Linked DNA regions of Struthio camelus. The protein of the gene in region 1 purifies or fractionates together with the protein of each later gene. This does not show direct contact. Links are inferred from orthologs where the notes say so. Each region holds a gene or a part of one and is shown in the gene's direction. Other genes may lie near its edges.

Region 1 (8,000 bases):
GGGTAATACTGCATTTCAGAGACTAGCCCAGCTGTGGATAGACTCAACCCTGCTATTGTGATGCAACTGGTAACAGAATTAAGAGCCCTGGGTGGACAAATGGCTACTGAAGACAGAAATGGGACCTGAAGAGAACGAGGAGGGAAAAAAATCCCCCCACAAACCCTGGAGAATGAAAAAGGCATTGGGAGAGCAGAAGGACTGGTGATGAAAAAAATCTAGGACCTGACAGAAGAGGAGTAAAGATTGAAGAAGTCCCAAGAGCTGAAAGCAGTCTGAGGCTGGCAGAGAACTGCTGGGAGGAATGTCATACATGCTTGTCCTGTTCTTAATCTTCCCTTCGTATCTGGTTTTAGTAGATATTACCAGCAGGCTACTAGGCTAACTAGACCTTGGTCTGACCCACTGTAGATTTCAGTATGTCCCTACCATGGTGCTTTTGGCAACCACAGGGCAAACAGACATGACTGTGAAAAGATGAATGGACTTTTTAATACTGTGAAATAATCTTGCTGTATTGAAATAATGCCCACCTTAATGTCATCATCTTCAGCCAGGTTTCCTAAGGAAGCGAGGCTTAAATTATCAAGGTGCGTGTCTTTGAACTGGATGACCCATTCCAGGCGAGTTTAACAAGCCTCCTACACATTGAAGGCCAATCCTTTTGGTGCAAAGCTGAAGAAGAGGTTGCATCAGCTCACACTTTATTAGATGCTCGGGAATCCTCACAGGACAAAGTCCTGTATCTTCAGTCAGAGCTCACATCATCCTAGACACCAAAACCAATCAGTCACAGCAGGCAAATCCACAGGAAACCAGTTGTGTGTCTGTTAAATGACAATTGGCATCAGATCAGTGGAGCGTTTCACACTTCTCCAGATTAAGTGTTCCTGGCTGCTGTGCAGCCTCAGGCTATGCAGGGACTGCCAGCTTCCTTGACCTGCACCTCACATCCTGAGAGCAGCTGACCAAGAGCCACTGTATGCATGCCACATCGTTCCAGGACTAAGGGGAAGAGGGGGCCAAGGAGGAGTTTACAGGGGTCCAGTCACAGTGGATGTGACTGCAGCAGCCTCTGCTGGTTTGGTTCTTCCCATAGGGGAAATAAAAATTGTTACCCCGTAACTCTTCCCACACTGGCACAGCCTAGCTGGCCACACATGGCTCCAGGCTGCAGTTAAATCACCTAAGGATTACACGGACTTCCCAGAGCTACACCTCTCGGAGTGAAGGTGAGAAGGCGCGGAGCTCTAACAAACCTCAGTCAGGAAGGGAAAAATGCAAGGCAAGTTGAGCTCAGTTCTGCAGCCTGAAAATTCTTTGGAATAAGGCAGAAGTCTTCTGAAGCCTTTGGATAGCCCATAAAAATCAACGACCCCACTTACAGCTCTTGAGCGAGCTGACAACCTGAGTCCACGCTACTCTCAGAAGTAACTGTTTTGCAGAGCTACGGATCTCATTGCTTAATAGCAAACTGTTTGGGGCAAGATTAATTTGTTTCTGAGAAACACCATCCATGCACATTGATATTGCTGTATGAGTGATCTTGGCCGGCTATCCTTAGCTGAGACATGGGACATAAATACTTGTGGCTGAAACACTGATGTTGAGATAAGTCAACAAATCAGTCTACTCAGCTTTTAGTCAAGCTAAAAGTCTTGCTGTCAGATCATGTACAGAAGTCTAGTTTTCTTTACGTAGCACTTGTTTTATTCAGGCATTTTTTTTCATGCAAGTTTGACATTCTGGAGAATTCTCTAAGCACCCATTTAATAGGGGCCAGCCTGAAAAGGTTCGGAATTAGTTTGCACTTTTTTTTTTTTTTTTTGGACCTGGAATTGCAGTACAAATAAACAGGCCCTTACCCCCTGTTTGTTCCTAATATAGATCTAAACGACCCTGCCAAAGTCAGCGGAAGCGTTCTCTTGAGTTCAGGACTTGCTGCTGGGGAATATTAGATGGAAGGTGAAGCAGTTAGTACAAAACTAGTTTCTTCTTATGCCCAAAAGACCACGGTGAACTAAGTCAGAGCAAACTCCTCAGAGATAAGTGAATTTGCAGGTACACTGACATAAAGCGGTTTTGTTAAATAAAGTTCTTGCAGCACATTTGCAAAACACATGCTTTCCAATTCTGTCTTCTGTAAGGAGTATGGCAAAAACACATTATGCTGGAGTTGTCACCTCACAGGTAGCCTTGCTGTTAAGACAGGAAAGTCACATCTTTGGAAAACATAAAAATAGGGGCAGAGGAACTCACTCAATTGTACAGTTAAACTAAGAAGACCACAATGTATTCAACCAGTAAAAACACTGTTTGTAGTGCCCTCAAAATGAGCCGTATCTACGTAGCTAGTTAGTTCATAGGACAGTGATGCATATACAAACCAGACACACCAACTGAAATCAGGGTATCACCTAGCCCAGTATTGCACTTCCAACACTGGCCCTAAGCAGACGCTTTGAGAAGAGTAAGAACAGGAAAAACACATATATTACTCCCCTCTTTTTCCCTGCCCATATATTCTCCCAGCTATTTTCAACTCTTGGGATTTCCTGATACTGACGTAATTTTTCAGTTTAGTAACCATCAATAGATCTCTTTTCCACATACTTGTTCAGTCATCCCATGAGTCCACGTGATCTCATAGCCACAGTGTCCTCAGCAGATGAGCTGCTGGGATTTGTGCCAAAATTGCTAGCCAAACAGCAGCCAGCCCACGCTTAAAGAATATTTGGCTTGTGAATGACCAACGTTTTGGGCAAAGTCTCTTCTAGTTATTTGGGCCACAAAATTAACATTGCTTTACCAGCTTCCTAGTAAAGCTCTACTTCCGATGGAGGAGATGAGCTCAGGAGGCTCACCTGGTTTCAGCACCCTCACCTACCAGTTGCATGCAGACTCCAGGACAAGGGAGGTGCACAGAGATGTGGCTCCGCAGAGACCTTTCCCAACCTCACCCCAGTTCCAGATGCAACAACATTTGTGCAGTGCCCAAAGCAGCTAACAGCGTTAAGGGCTTTCTCCATCTCGAACACCGTAAGGGCTTTCTCCATCTCAAAACAATGATTGCTGTACACTGTTATCACAGGACAGCAAAAAAAAAAAAATTCCCTTTGGATCAGTTGGCCTGCAGCTGTGGAAAGCCATCAATTGCAATGGAAGAGTAATTAGCACTCGTGAAAAACTACTATGCTTTGTGCACATCCAATTGTGTAAGCAAGCTGAACACAACCATTTTATTAACAAGTGTCACAAGGCTTCAACTGCAGTGTTGAACTTTAGACGGAAAAAAACCCCAGCTTGGTCTGCTCATCCAGGCAGGGCTCCAAGACTGAATATCTGAGATATTCTGAGTAAATCCAGGATGAATGGACTAAAGTAAAAGCAGGAAATTCTTACAGACATGTTTTGCCCAGCAGTAATAAGACAGCTTGCCATGAGCATAATAGATGATCTGATTTTTCAAACTGAAATTGCCTATGGTTACTCTTTACCAACCATGACACAACTAGAAGTAAACAGGCAAAGAAACAGGAATGCCGGCATTATTCCTTTCACATGTCAGTTCTTAGTCTTTAGGAGGTAATTTTCCCCTGAACTAGTAGTCTGACCTATTTTTAATGGCAAAGCCAACAACTGAACCACCTATTTGTGAAGCATGACTTCTTTCTAGTCCTTTGAGGCACCGTGTTCCTTCTTCTCACCTATCTTGAGGCTACAAGCTACTTCCTTGTTTGACTACAGTTCTTCTTTTTGCTTGCCAAGGGTGATTTCATGAAGTGCAGGCAGCCAAAAATCCTCTGCTGGAACATCAGCTCACTGCTGTTGAAGGGCTGGAGTTATTTTCAGCGTCGGCACTCTTGGCTTTCACTGACACGGCCTGGCCTTTACAACACAACGTGCTCTCCCACGCACGCTTCCCTTTTAGCGCTGACGTGCTTTCTGTGGAACCGCTGTGTCCCAGGCAATATGGTAATACTGACAAGAAGAACCAGAAAGACCAGGCAAAATTATGCCCTAGCCCACATCTGAGCTTTCTATTACAAACGCTGCATCTTTATCCATTTGCATGGCTTTCCCTTCAGAGCATGCTGGCAACTAAGCAGCTGGGGGAACTGCACAGTGTTCAGCAACTTCCTTTCCCCCCAGGCAAAGGAAGACTTAAGAAAGCTGCCAGCTCACAACCTTAAGGAGTCGTACTATTAGCATAAAGTCAGGCAGACTCTGTTCCAGCCAGCACTGCTTTAGCATCTTCAACAACCAGGTTACTTCTAGGACAGCGGCACATGGCCGCAGCCGGCACCTGCCAAGGCACAGCCTGCCCTGGCCCCCGCAAACCTGCCGAGAGACGAAGCAGACCCGCACTAGCAGCAGCTTCATCTTTTCCTGCCACAGCCGCACTTTCTACCACGAGCCCCTGCCCCACCGTCCGGGCCTCCCCCCCAGTGCCGAAGGCCCCAGCCTTCCCTGGCACACCGGGGCCCACCCCACCGGCTCTTAGCTCTGCGGGCCGCCTCCTCCCTAAACCTCGGCCACCGGCCCCAGCTCCAAAGGGACGGCAACCCCCCTCCCCCGCACGGCAGCGGCCAAAACCCTGCGGCCACCGACGACATGGCGCCGCAAGGAAACCCGCGCCCCACAGGAAAACAGGAGGCGCCGCGCCACCCTACGGCGGCCGCGAAGGCCACGAGGAGCGTTGTATGCTGGGATTTGTAGTCCCCATGCTGCCGCGGGGGACCTCATAGGCGGAGAAGCGTTCCGTCACTGATGTAATTTGACCCTTCTCCCGCCCCGTCTCCTTCTCCTTTTCTACCCTTATGGGCTCTACGGCTCACACCAGCACATTCCAGCGTGGGTTCTACGGGAGGGAGGGGGGGTCCTTTCTCAGGGACTGCCCGCAGCGCCGCCTGAACAGAAACATGGGATCCTTCGCTCGCCTCCGGCTTCCGTCCCTCAAAACACTTAGGCGCCCGCCTGGACGTCTTCGTCTCGTTTGGCAACGCGGCCTGGTGCGGCGGGGAGGCAGGAAGTGCGGCAGAAGCAGGCCAGACCGATCAGGCAGCGCGCTCGGGCAGCCCTCTGGGAGCCGGGTGAAGGGTCATGCCGGGGACCTGCTCCCTCCCCCACCCTGACATGCCAACCCGGCAGTCGGCGGCGTAGCAGCGCGCGGGCAGTGTACGTGGGGGCCGGCGGGCGGCGGCGGCGGCGGCGGCGGCGGCGGCGGCGGCGGCGGCGGCGGCGGGGGGGGGGGGGGGAACGCGGCGCGGGGGGCAGGGCGGGAGCAGGCGCGCGCCGGCGGGCGGGCGGGCGGGCGGGGGGGGGTTCGGTGGGGGAGGGGGTAACGGTCGAGCCCCCCTCTTCCCCCGCCATGGGGAGAGGCGGGGGCGGCGGGGCCTGCGGGTGGCGGGGCGCTGAGTGCCGGCTCTCACGCAGGTTTCCCCCCCCCCCCTCCCCGGTCCCCGCCGCAGGATGGAGTTCGAGCTGCTGGAGAGCGACGTGCTGGAGTCGCTGGAGGATCTGGGGTAGGTGCCGCGGCGCCGGGGGCTTGAGCACCGCCCTGGCCCCGGGCCTTGCCTTGCCCCGGCGCCGCCGTCGGCTGGGCCGGGGGGAGGTGGCGCGGTTGGCGGGTGATGGCCCCCGGCAAGGGGCCCCCGTCAGGGGAGCGCGGCTGCCCGCCGGCGGCGGGGGGGGCGGGCAGGGAAGCGGGGCTCGCATCCCCCCGGCGCTGCGATGCCGGGCAGAGCCGCAGCCGGGGCTCCCCGGCTTCAGCCCCGGCAATATCCCTTTCCTCATGACCACCTCGGGGGGGGCCGGCCCTAAAACCACCCGTGGGTAGTGTCGCTTTGGCGTAAGGAAACGCGCGAAGCCAAGCAGGCTGCTTTTAGCCGCAACGTCTTTGCAGAGTTTTTGCCCCCGTGGTGAGTGTTGGTTGCCCAGACTCTGGTGATGCCCTTCCTGTCAGTAGAGCTCTCCTGGCTGGAGGTGGGGAACGAGGAGAGAAACCTTGTCGGAGAAGTGAGGGGAGGGGAAAGCGTTTGGGCTTCAGTTCTTGTGGAAAAAAAAAAATTGGTAAAAAAAAAAAATAAATGACGTAGTATTTTCCCTTTAGCTGCTTTTTTTTAGAATGTAATGCAAGAAACTTGTGTTGTTTAATCCTGCTACTCTGTCAGAGTCAGCAGAGGTTGTAAAAAATATGCGAGAAAGCAAGCGGAACATTGTCGTAGTGTAAGCTTGTCTGCCTGTAAACTGTTGAGGGCTCAGAAAAGAGGCCGTTGCAATTTTACTGCTGCTGGTTCTGTGCAAACAGCTGTATTTTCTCACATTGGCTGCATTCCCGTAAATCACTTTGTTGGAGCATAATGACTCTAGCCACAAAGATTATGTTTCCAGGCTAAGTTGGTGATGATAGCTCCAATGCTTGACAAATAGGCTACTGTTTTTGCAGGTATTTGTTTGACTGAAATGTGAAAAGGTCTCTCTCATGTTGCAAATACCGTAAACTTCTGCTTTTTTTTCCTGCCACATGTTTGAAAGGATATTACTGACTTGAAGGAGTTATGATTTGTGTAGTAATCACAGAAGTGATTAGAAACTCTTGCTGTTGATTCTTGACATATTAAAATAAAGCGAACAAGCCAAATGGAGTAAAAAGTAAGTCAGTGATATCAGTGGTGATATTGGCAGCAGTGTTTGTAAAGAAAATTTGGGGAGCAAAAGACAGGACTTCAGCAGTAACAGGAACAACCTGGAAGACTGCTACATGCATGCAACTAAAAGATTTCTGTTAGTTTCCTTGTGTTTGTACAAGCTTGGGGGCTTGGGGTTTTTAAGCTTTGACAATAATTCCATTATCCTTTGAAGTTCAACATATTTTTTTTCTAACTAAATGCTGAAGACTTACTTTATTGCTTGATTTTTGTTTAATAGCATTGCACATCATAAAATTGTTTGTTTGTTCTTGAAGTTGTGTGAGAACTGCTCAAACAGTGGCCTCTTCCCTTTTAAGTCAGTTTGAACTATTGAAAAAGCAAACAAATCCGATATCAAAACGCTACTGAAGGAGAACGTAGCTCGAGAACGTACACTGTGGGAGAGGGGGAGGAATGGAAGCATGGGCCTGAAAGCTTTTAAAGTGCTTTAGAAGAAAAAGGCTGGCGAGGAAGCTGCAAGTTGGATTACTGGCTGAATAGCTGTATAGTTGAATCATGGTTATCGGAAATAATATAGTTAAGATGTCATATCTATCAAAGAAAAATTTCAGAGAAGGAGCCTCTAACATGACGAGCAACTTAAATCCAGATCCTGCCAAAGCAAAAGGCTTGTCGTCAGCTCTGCTTAGAGCTATAACTTGATGTTTCTATTTTGAGTCTTGTGTGTTCCTATACACGTGTAAGTCTGATGAGTCTGTGCGGTGGGACTTAAGCTTACTCTAAGTAGCCTGTTGGAATTGCATCTGGCTCACTGTGGTAATGCGGTGGGGCTGAAGTAGATCAAATTATAACTTCCCATCAGCTCCGTATCATTAATCAAGCTGCTCTTTGGAGTAAAAGTTACTTGGAGTATGGCTTCTTCATTTTGGTTGGGTGAAGCTATTACAGTGAAGAGAAACCCTTTATATGTAATGTTAATCAAAAGAATAAAGTATGGAAAAATAACATATTATTTTACTCTTTGAGAGATTTGTTGCTTCGGAGATTGGCCAAGAGTTGACTGAACTCACTGGGTCGCTGTGACTTAATGGGTAACTTTACAGTGGAAACTTGAAATAGCAATTTCAGTTGATTATACTCACTCTTGGATGTCCTTCTGTTTTGAGTGCGGTACGCAAAAGTGATATTGTGGATTTTATACTCTGGTAAGCTCTAACTTTGTTCCTCTGCCTGGGTAATAAGGCTGTTTCTCCCTCCTCTTCACCCTCCTCTTCCCCCCAGCAAGGTACACAGACGTCCTGAAAACTACATCTTTTAAAATCAGTTCTGTAGAATCATGCTTTCTTA
Region 2 (7,901 bases), on another chromosome or scaffold:
GCCCCGGCCCCGGCCCCCCGCCCGCCCCCCGCCGCTCCCTCACCTTGGCCTTGCCCTGGAAGTTGAAGGTGAGGACGTACTCGCCCCGGCGCGTCTCGCTCTGCCGCACCAGGAAGACGCCGTGGCTGCTGGTGCCCCCCGCCAGCACCAGCTGGGCCGCCTTCAGCCGCGAGAGGGTGCCGTGGAACCAGGGGTACTCGGAGAGCGGGTGCTCGGGGTCCCCCTCGCCCGCCTCCGCCTCCGCCTGGAAGAGGAAGGAGCCTGCCGAGGGCACGGAGAGCATCAGAGAGACCAAGGCGGAAAGAGGGAGCCCTAAAAACCACCCTACAGAGCCCCAGCGCCGACCCCGACACCCCAAACCCTCCCCAAACACCCCCAATGCCAGCCCCGACACCCCAAACCCTCCCCAAACACCCCCAATGCCAGCCCTGACACCCCAAACCCTGCCCAGACACCCCCAGCACCAACCCCGACATCCCAAATCCTTCGCCAGACCCCCAGTGCCAACCCCGACACCCCAAACCCTCCCCAAACACCCCCAGCGCCGACCCCGACACCCCAAACCCTCCTGCAGAGCCCCAGCACTGACCTTGACACCCCAAACCCTCCCCAAACACCCCCAGCGCCAACCCCGACATCCCAAATCCTTCGCCAGACCCCCAGTGCCAACCCCGACATCCCAAATCCTTCGCCAGACCCCCAGTGCCAACCCCGATGCCCCAAACCCTCCCCAAGACCCCCAGCACTGACCCCGACACCCCAAACCCTCCCCAGACCCCCAGCACCAACCCCGACACCCCAAACCCTCCCCGAGACCCCCAGCGCGGTGCCCCGTCCCCCCGCACCTGCGCCGTCGGGGGTGTCGGGGAAGGGGGTGTGCAGCAGCCCGGGGGGGAAGGGGGCCTGGAGCCGCTCGGCCGCCTCCTCGATGGGGATCCGGGGGGGCAGCTCCGGCGGCAGCATCTCCATGGAGTCGAAGTGGGAGGCGGCGATGGAGACGGAGCTGGGCGACACGGAGGCCGAGGGGCGCTCGGAGAGCCCGCCGTAGGCGCCTGGGGGCGGCGGGGAGGCCGTCAGAGCCGGCCGGGGGCGCCGGGCCGGGGCGCAGGGCGCCGGGACTCACCCTGCGCCAGGTGCTCGCTGCTCTCGCCGGGCAGCAGGGGCAGCTCCCGGCTGGGCACGCTCTCCGAGTGGTTCAGGCACGGGGCGGCCGGGCTCTCCGCCTCCTCCCTGCGGGACACGGGCCGGAGGGGGGGACGAGCGCTCGTGGCCCCGTCCCCGGGGCGAGGGGACAGGGTTGGGGGGGGGGGACCCGCGCCAGCGCTGCCGAGGGCGGGGAGGGGGCAGCAGAGGGAAGAGAGGCGAGTGCGGGCGAAAGGGGCCGCCGGGATGGGGGGCAAAGGAGGCGGCCCGGGGCGCGGAGGGGGGGCACGCGGGGCTCACCCCGGGCTCATGCAGTCCTGGATGTCGGCCAGCCACGACTTCATCTGCAGCGAGTCGACCGTCTCCAGGATGTACTCGAGCGAGTTCTCCATCTGGCGGAGCGCGAGGAGGAGGAGGAGGAAGGGGGGGGGTCAGCGCTTGCTGCCACCGCGGCCCCCCTCGCCTCACCCCCCCCCCGCCGCCACCGGCACCTTCAGGACGAACGTGTTCTCCTTGTCGGGCATCTCCAGCGGCGTGGTGGTGCGCACGGCCGTCACCGCCGAGCACAGGATGCTGACGCGAGCCTTGGTGGCCTGTTGGGGACGGGGCGAGGTGACGGGGGACGCCAGGGGCTCCGGTTCCCCTCGCCTCCGCGTCCCCGAGCCCTTCCCCGTCGCTCCTCGGGGACGGCGGAGAGCGGATCCCGGCGCTGCCCCCCTCCGCCGCCGCCCGAGCCCACCTTCGGCGGGACGTAAAACTCCAGGGCGTAGCCGTCCCCGTCGCCTTTCCCGGCCTTCCTGAGCAGCAGGCGGCACCGCTGCCAGCGGGCACGGCCCCCCGCGCCCGCCCCGGGCCCGCCGTCGTCCGCCACGATGAAGTTGAGCAGGCCCTCGCGCCGGACGCTGCAGGGCTCGGCCCGGGCGCCGGGGGCTCGGCCGAGGCGCAGGCGCTCCAAGCGCTGGGCCCAGCGCTCGCCGGCGGCCGGGGCGGCATCGCCGGCGCCGCCGGACGAGTTGGAGTTGGTGTTGGCGCCGGCGGCGGGCGGCTCGCGGCCGGCGGCCGGCGGCTCGGCCGCGCCGCGCCACTGCAGGATGCCGCGGACGCTGCGGCCCACGCTGCGCAGGGAGAAGCGCTTGCGCAGCTTGGCCTTGGAGCCGGCGGCGGCGGCGGCCACGTCCTCGGAGCTGCGCGACTGGCCCCCCGGCAGCCCCGGGGCGGCGACGGCGGCGGCGGCGGGCTCCAGCGGCGAGGCCACCGACGACTCGCTGCAGGTCTCCGAGACGTCCCGGGGGCGGTGGGCGCCCGTGAAGGGGGCGATGGCGCAGCGGGGCGGCGAGGCGTCCCCGCCGGCGCAGGCTCGCGTCACCTCGGCCTCGAAGTGCTCCACGAAGTGCTCGGCGAAGCGGCGGGAGAAGGCGGCTTCGGCCCCCGGCGCCCCGAACTGCGGGTTGTCGCTGACGAAGGCCCGGAAGCGGCGGGCGAAGTCCCGGGCGGCCGCGCGAGCGTGGGTCTCGCAGAAGTCCCGCCAGCCCGGGGGAGCCGGCGGGCAGGGCGGGGGCGTCCCCCCCCCGCCGCCGCCGCCGGCCCCCGCGCTGCCGTTCATGCCGCCGGCGGCCCCGGGGGGCCCGGGCGCCCCCGCGTCCCGCGGCCCCAACGCGCTGCGGACGCCGCTGCTGCCCCGGCGGCCGCGCTCGTCCTCACCTGCGGAGACAGAGACGGGGCGGTCGGCCCGGGACCGCCGGAGCTTCCTCCTCCTCCTCCTCCTCCCGCTGGCACCGCTCCGGGCTCTCCGGGAGCCGTTCCCGGCCTCCCAAAGTCCCTCAATCTCCCCCCCAGAGCCCTCATCCTCTACCCAGCACCCCATAAGGATGGCCCTGACCCCCTGGAGCCCCCGGATCTGCCCCCCAGACCCTTCATCCTCCATCCAGGACCCCGCAGGACCACCCCGATCCTCTATGCTCTGCCCAGGACCCCATAAGGACGTCCCTGACTCCCCAAATCTGCCCCCCAGACCCTTCCTGTCCTTTCGTGACCCTGCAGGGCAGCTCTTGGCCCCGCACAAATCCCCACATCTACCCCACAGGCCCCTCTGGGACCCACACAGCCATCTCAGACCCCCCCCAGACCCCACATCTGCCCCACAGGCCTCTCACAGACCCCCTACAGCCATCTCAGACCCCCCACAGACCCCACATCTGCCCCACAGGCCCCTTGGGGACCCCACACAGCCACCCCTGGCCCCCCACAGACCCCACATCTGCCCCACAGGCCTCTCACAGACCCCCTACAGCCATCTCAGACCCCCCACAGACCCCACATCTGCCCCACAGGCCCCTCGGGGATCCCATACAGCCACCCCTGGCCCCCACAGCCCCCACATCTGCCCCCCCAGGCCCCTCGGGGACCCCACACAGCCATCTCAGACCCCCCACAGACCGCACATCTGCCCCACAGGCCTCTCTGGGACCCCACACAGCCACTCTCAGCCCCCCACAAACCCCACATCTTCCCCGCAGGCCCCTCGGGGACCCCCCACAGCCCCCACATCTGCCCCCCCAGGCCCCCCGGGACCCCCCACAGTCATCTCAGACCCCCCCCAGACCCCACATCTTCCCCGCAGGCCCCTCGGGGACCCCCCACAGCCCCCACATCTGCCCCTCAGGCCCCCCCGGGACCCCCCACAGCCACCCCCGGCCCCCCGGCTCGGCCCCCCAGACCCCTCTGGGTCCCCCGCAGGGCCGCCCCCGGCCCCCCCGGCCCCGGTGCTGACCATGGCGGCCCCGCCCCGCCCCGGCTCCGCGTCGCTGGTCCCGAGTGCGAACGGGGCGGGGGGGAGGGGCGGGGGCGGCCCGACCCAACCTCCCCCCCACACACCCGGCGGCTTCCGCTTCCGGGTCTCGCCGCTCTTCCGCTTCCGCCTCCCGAGGTGGCGCGGGGGGGTCGGAGCGCCCCCAAGTGACCGTGGGGAGGGGGCAGCACTGACCGGAGCGGCCGCCCCGGGAGCATCGAGGTGGGGCAAGTCGGTGCAGAGCGTCCCCCCTCCTTCTTCGCCGGAGCGTAGAGAGGGCGAGGAGACCAGAGCGCCCCCTCCCCCCCCTCCCCCGGCTGCTCACCATAGAGACGGGATGGCGGCGCCTCTTGCTCCCGCTGATCATAGAGCAGAAGGCTGAGGGTAACTAGAGCGGCTCTAGGAGAACCATAAAGCTGAGAAGACGGAGGCAGGCAGAGGGCCCCCAGAGAGCCATAGAGAGCCAGTTCGGCTTCTTCCACGCCTAGACTGTCTCAGCCGCCCGCTGCCACCATAGAGAGGCGAGGCTATCGAGCCCCCGCTCCGTACTAACGTAAACACCATAGAGCCAGCGCGTGGAGGACTAGAGCGTCGCCCTGCGTGAGACGTAAACTCTAGCGCGGAGCGGCGGGCGGGGCCAGAGCGCCCCCCCCACCCCGAGCGCTGGGGGTCGCCATGGAGACCCCGGTCACCCCACCGCGCGGGGGGGGACGACGACATACAACACCCTCTCTTCCCGCCGGTACCTGAGAGGCGACAGTCGCCGGGGGGGGAAAGGGGGGGCGGCGGGGTTGAGGCAGGAGCCGGGACTCGTTCCCGCGCCCCCCCCCCGCTGTGATGCGGCCGGCGGAGGGATCTCACTGGAGGCGCCCGTGTCCTCACGTGCCCCTCCGCCCCCCCCAACCCGGCCGCGAGGAGAGGCGACGCACTGCGCATGCGCCCCACCCCCCCACCCCCTTCGGCGCGCGCATGCGCGGCCGCCGGATTTTGCGGGTTGGGGGGGAAGGCAGGCGGGTAGCCTCGGCCGCGCATGCGCAGCGCGGAGGGGGCGGGAGCGGCGCCCTTTGTGGCGGCGGCGCGCATGCGCGGCGGGAGGGGAGGGGGGACTACTTTTTTTTTTTTTTTTTTTTCCCTGCCGGCGGAGGAAACGCGCGTGGAGCGAAGCCGGTGCTGGAAGGGGGGGGGGCGTTTCCTCCGCCGTCACGTGAGCAAAAAGCGAAAGAGGCCGGGGAAGGGTTATTATTAAAAAAAAAGAAAAAGAGGGAAAAGCCGGCGCGGCGCGCATGCGCGGTGTCTCCCCGCCCATTGTGCGGAGGGACACAGGGCGCGAGGGGAGGCGCGCGCGCTGCGGCCGCCGGCGCCCCGGCCCCCCCTCCCCTCCCCTCCCCTCCCCGGTCGGCTCCGCCGCGCCCGGCTCCGCGCGCGCCGCCGCCGCCGCCACCCGCCGCCGCCACCCGCCGCCGCCGCCCCGCGCGCGCCCCCGGGCGGGGGGGGAGGGAGACGCCGCGCCGCCGCCGCCGCCGCCGCCATGTTGAAGCAGCCGCAGCCGCTGCCCCCGCAGCCCCCCGCCGCCGCCGCGGCGCCGCCGCCCGCCGCCCGCAAGGCCCCGCCGCCGCCGCCGCCGCCTCCCCCCGCCGCCGCCGCCGCCGCCGCCAGCCCTAACGGCAGCCTCAGCCCCGGCGGCGGAGCGGCCCGCGGCGGCGCGGCGGGGGGGGGGGGAGGCGCCGGAGGAAGCGGCGGCACCAGGTAACATCCGGGTCCTGCCGGGCCGGGAAAGGGGGGGGTTGGAGGGGGGGGTTGGAGGGGTTGGGAGGGGGGAAAGGAGGGAGCCCGGCGCTGATTGGCCGGCGGCGCGGCCAATCAGGGCGGGGGGAAGGGGCACGTGGGGGGGTGGACGCCCCCGCCCCCCCCCCCCCGCCGCGGCCTCCCCCAAGGGGGTGGAAGGGGCCCAGGTGTCCGGTGGGCCACAAGTGCCAGTGTGCCCCCCCCCCATCAGGGGGACCAGGGACCCAGGTGTCCGGGCCCCCCCCCATCAGGGGGACCCCGGTGTCCGGGCCCCCCCCATCAGGGAGACCAGGGACCCAGGTGTCCGGGCCCCCCCCCATCAGGGAGACCAAGGACCCAGGTGTCCAGGACTCCCCCCCCATCAGTGGCACCCAGGTATCCAGACCCCCCCATCAGTGGGACCAGGGGCCTAGCTGTCTGCCCCCCCCATCAGAGGGACCCAGGTGTCCGGGCCCCCCCATCAGTGGGACCCAGGTGTCCGGGCCCCCCCATCACTGGGACCAGGGACCCAGGTGTCCGGGCCCCCCCATCACTGGGACCAGGGACCCAAGTGTCCGGGCTCCGCCCGCGCCGCGGTCCCGGAGGCTGCACCCCCCCGGCCCCACTGGGCTGCGGGGACCCGGCACATCCCTCATTTGCGTTTCAGGGGCCAGAGCACGGGGAAGGGGCCCCCCCAGGCGCCGGTAAGTGACCAGCGAGCTCGGGGCGGGGGGGGGCGGCGGCGGCGCGGGGGCCGCTGGTTTGGGGGAGCCCCTCACCCCTCCGCCCCCCTCCCCGCAGGTCTTCGAGGGCGTCTACAACAACTCCCGCATGCTGCACTTCCTGACGGCCGTGGTGGTGAGTCCGCGGGGCGGCTCCGGCGCTGGGGGGGGCGGTCCCGGCGCTGGGGGGGGCAGCTGCGGTGCTGGGGGGCGCCCGGGCCGGGCCGCGGTCCATCGCCTCCCCCTCTCCCGCCCAGGGCTCCACCTGCGACGTCAAGGTGAAGAACGGCAGCACCTTCGAGGGCATCTTCAAGACGCTGAGCTCCAAGGTGAGTGCGGGCAGCGGCGGCCCCGGCCTCGGGCTGACGCCCCCGGCCCCGCCGTGACGCCCGCCCGTCCGTCCGTCCGTCCCCGCAGTTCGAGCTGGCGGTGGACGCCGTGCACCGGCGCAACCCCGACCAGCCCTCCGGCCCCAAGCGCGAGGACATCGTGGACACCATGGTCTTCAAACCCGCCGACGTCATGCTGGTGCACTTCCGCAACGTGGACTTCAACTACGCCACGAAAGGTGCGCGGGGAGGGGGCGGTAGAGCCGCGTTGGGGGGGGGGGGGGGCGGGCGACGGCCAGGCCTCACCCCCGCCCCCCCTGCAGACAAGTTCACCGACTCGGCCATCGCCATGAACTCGAAGGTGAACGGGGAGCACAAGGAGAAGGTGCTGCAGCGCTGGGAGGGGGGCGACAGCAACAGCGACGACTACGACCTGGATTCGGACATGGTGAGGGGCCGGGGCGGGGGCCGGGGCGGGGGCGGCGAGCGGCGCGGGCGGCCTCTGAGCCCTCTCCTCCCGCAGTCCAACGGCTGGGACCCCAACGAGATGTTCAAGTTCAACGAGGAGACCTACGGCGTGAAGACCACCTACGACAGCAGCCTCTCCTCCTACACGTGAGCGCGCCGGCAGGGCCGGGGCGGGGGGAGCAGGGGGTCCGGCCGCCGCCGCGGGGAGCCCCTGGCCGGGCTGACGCCGCGCGGGCCCCCCCCCGCAGGGTGCCGCTGGAGAAGGACAACTCGGAGGAGTTTCGGCAGCGGGAGGCCCGGGCGGCCCAGCTGGCGCGGGAGATCGAGTCGAGCCCGCAGTACCGGCTCCGCATCGCCATGGAGAACGACGACGGGCGCACGGAGGAGGAGAAGCACAGCTCGGTGCAGCGCCAGGGCTCCGGCCGCGACAGCCCCAGCCTGGCCGCCGCCAGGTCGGCCCCCCCGGCCCCTCCGAGCGCCCCCCGGCCCCTCCGAGCGCCCCCAGCCCCTCTGAGCGCCCCTCGCCTCTCTCCGCAGGGAGAGCAAGTACAACCCGCTGCCGCAGCGCGTGCGGGACGGGTCGCGCGGCGGCGTGCGCTGCGGCTCCTCCCGCGGCGGGCGGCCCGGGGTGGGCTCCCTCCCGCCTCGGGGCGCCCCCCACCACGCCGAACCCGGCCCGGAGCAACG

Evidence for each region. Proteins that work in one complex are often made in the same cells at the same time.
Region 2: the proteins of FAM98A (region 1) and ATXN2L purify together in Homo sapiens (co-immunoprecipitation; 3 studies listed by BioGRID and IntAct, with this or other methods). This does not show direct contact. The link is inferred for Struthio camelus from reciprocal best matches to the Homo sapiens genes FAM98A and ATXN2L.

What each region holds. Positions count from the first base shown.
Region 1 is NC_090944.1:103,512,704-103,520,703, reverse strand, and holds the start of FAM98A (protein FAM98A), read left to right. Parts: upstream 1-4,989; 5' UTR 4,990-5,178; intron 5,179-5,436; 5' UTR 5,437-5,472; coding exon 5,473-5,525; intron 5,526-8,000. UniProt on the Homo sapiens protein: Positively stimulates PRMT1-induced protein arginine methylation. Involved in skeletal homeostasis. Positively regulates lysosome peripheral distribution and ruffled border formation in osteoclasts.
Region 2 is NC_090973.1:100,272-108,172, forward strand, and holds the start of ATXN2L (ataxin-2-like protein), read left to right. Parts: upstream 1-4,900; coding exon 4,901-4,924; intron 4,925-5,534; coding exon 5,535-5,677; intron 5,678-6,362; coding exon 6,363-6,399; intron 6,400-6,496; coding exon 6,497-6,553; intron 6,554-6,674; coding exon 6,675-6,746; intron 6,747-6,834; coding exon 6,835-6,985; intron 6,986-7,069; coding exon 7,070-7,194; intron 7,195-7,269; coding exon 7,270-7,361; intron 7,362-7,462; coding exon 7,463-7,666; intron 7,667-7,751; coding exon 7,752-7,901. Other genes in the region: SH2B1 (SH2B adapter protein 1), read right to left, coding at 44-261, 846-1,052, 1,124-1,230, 1,444-1,535, 1,635-1,736, 1,883-2,746. UniProt on the Homo sapiens protein: Involved in the regulation of stress granule and P-body formation.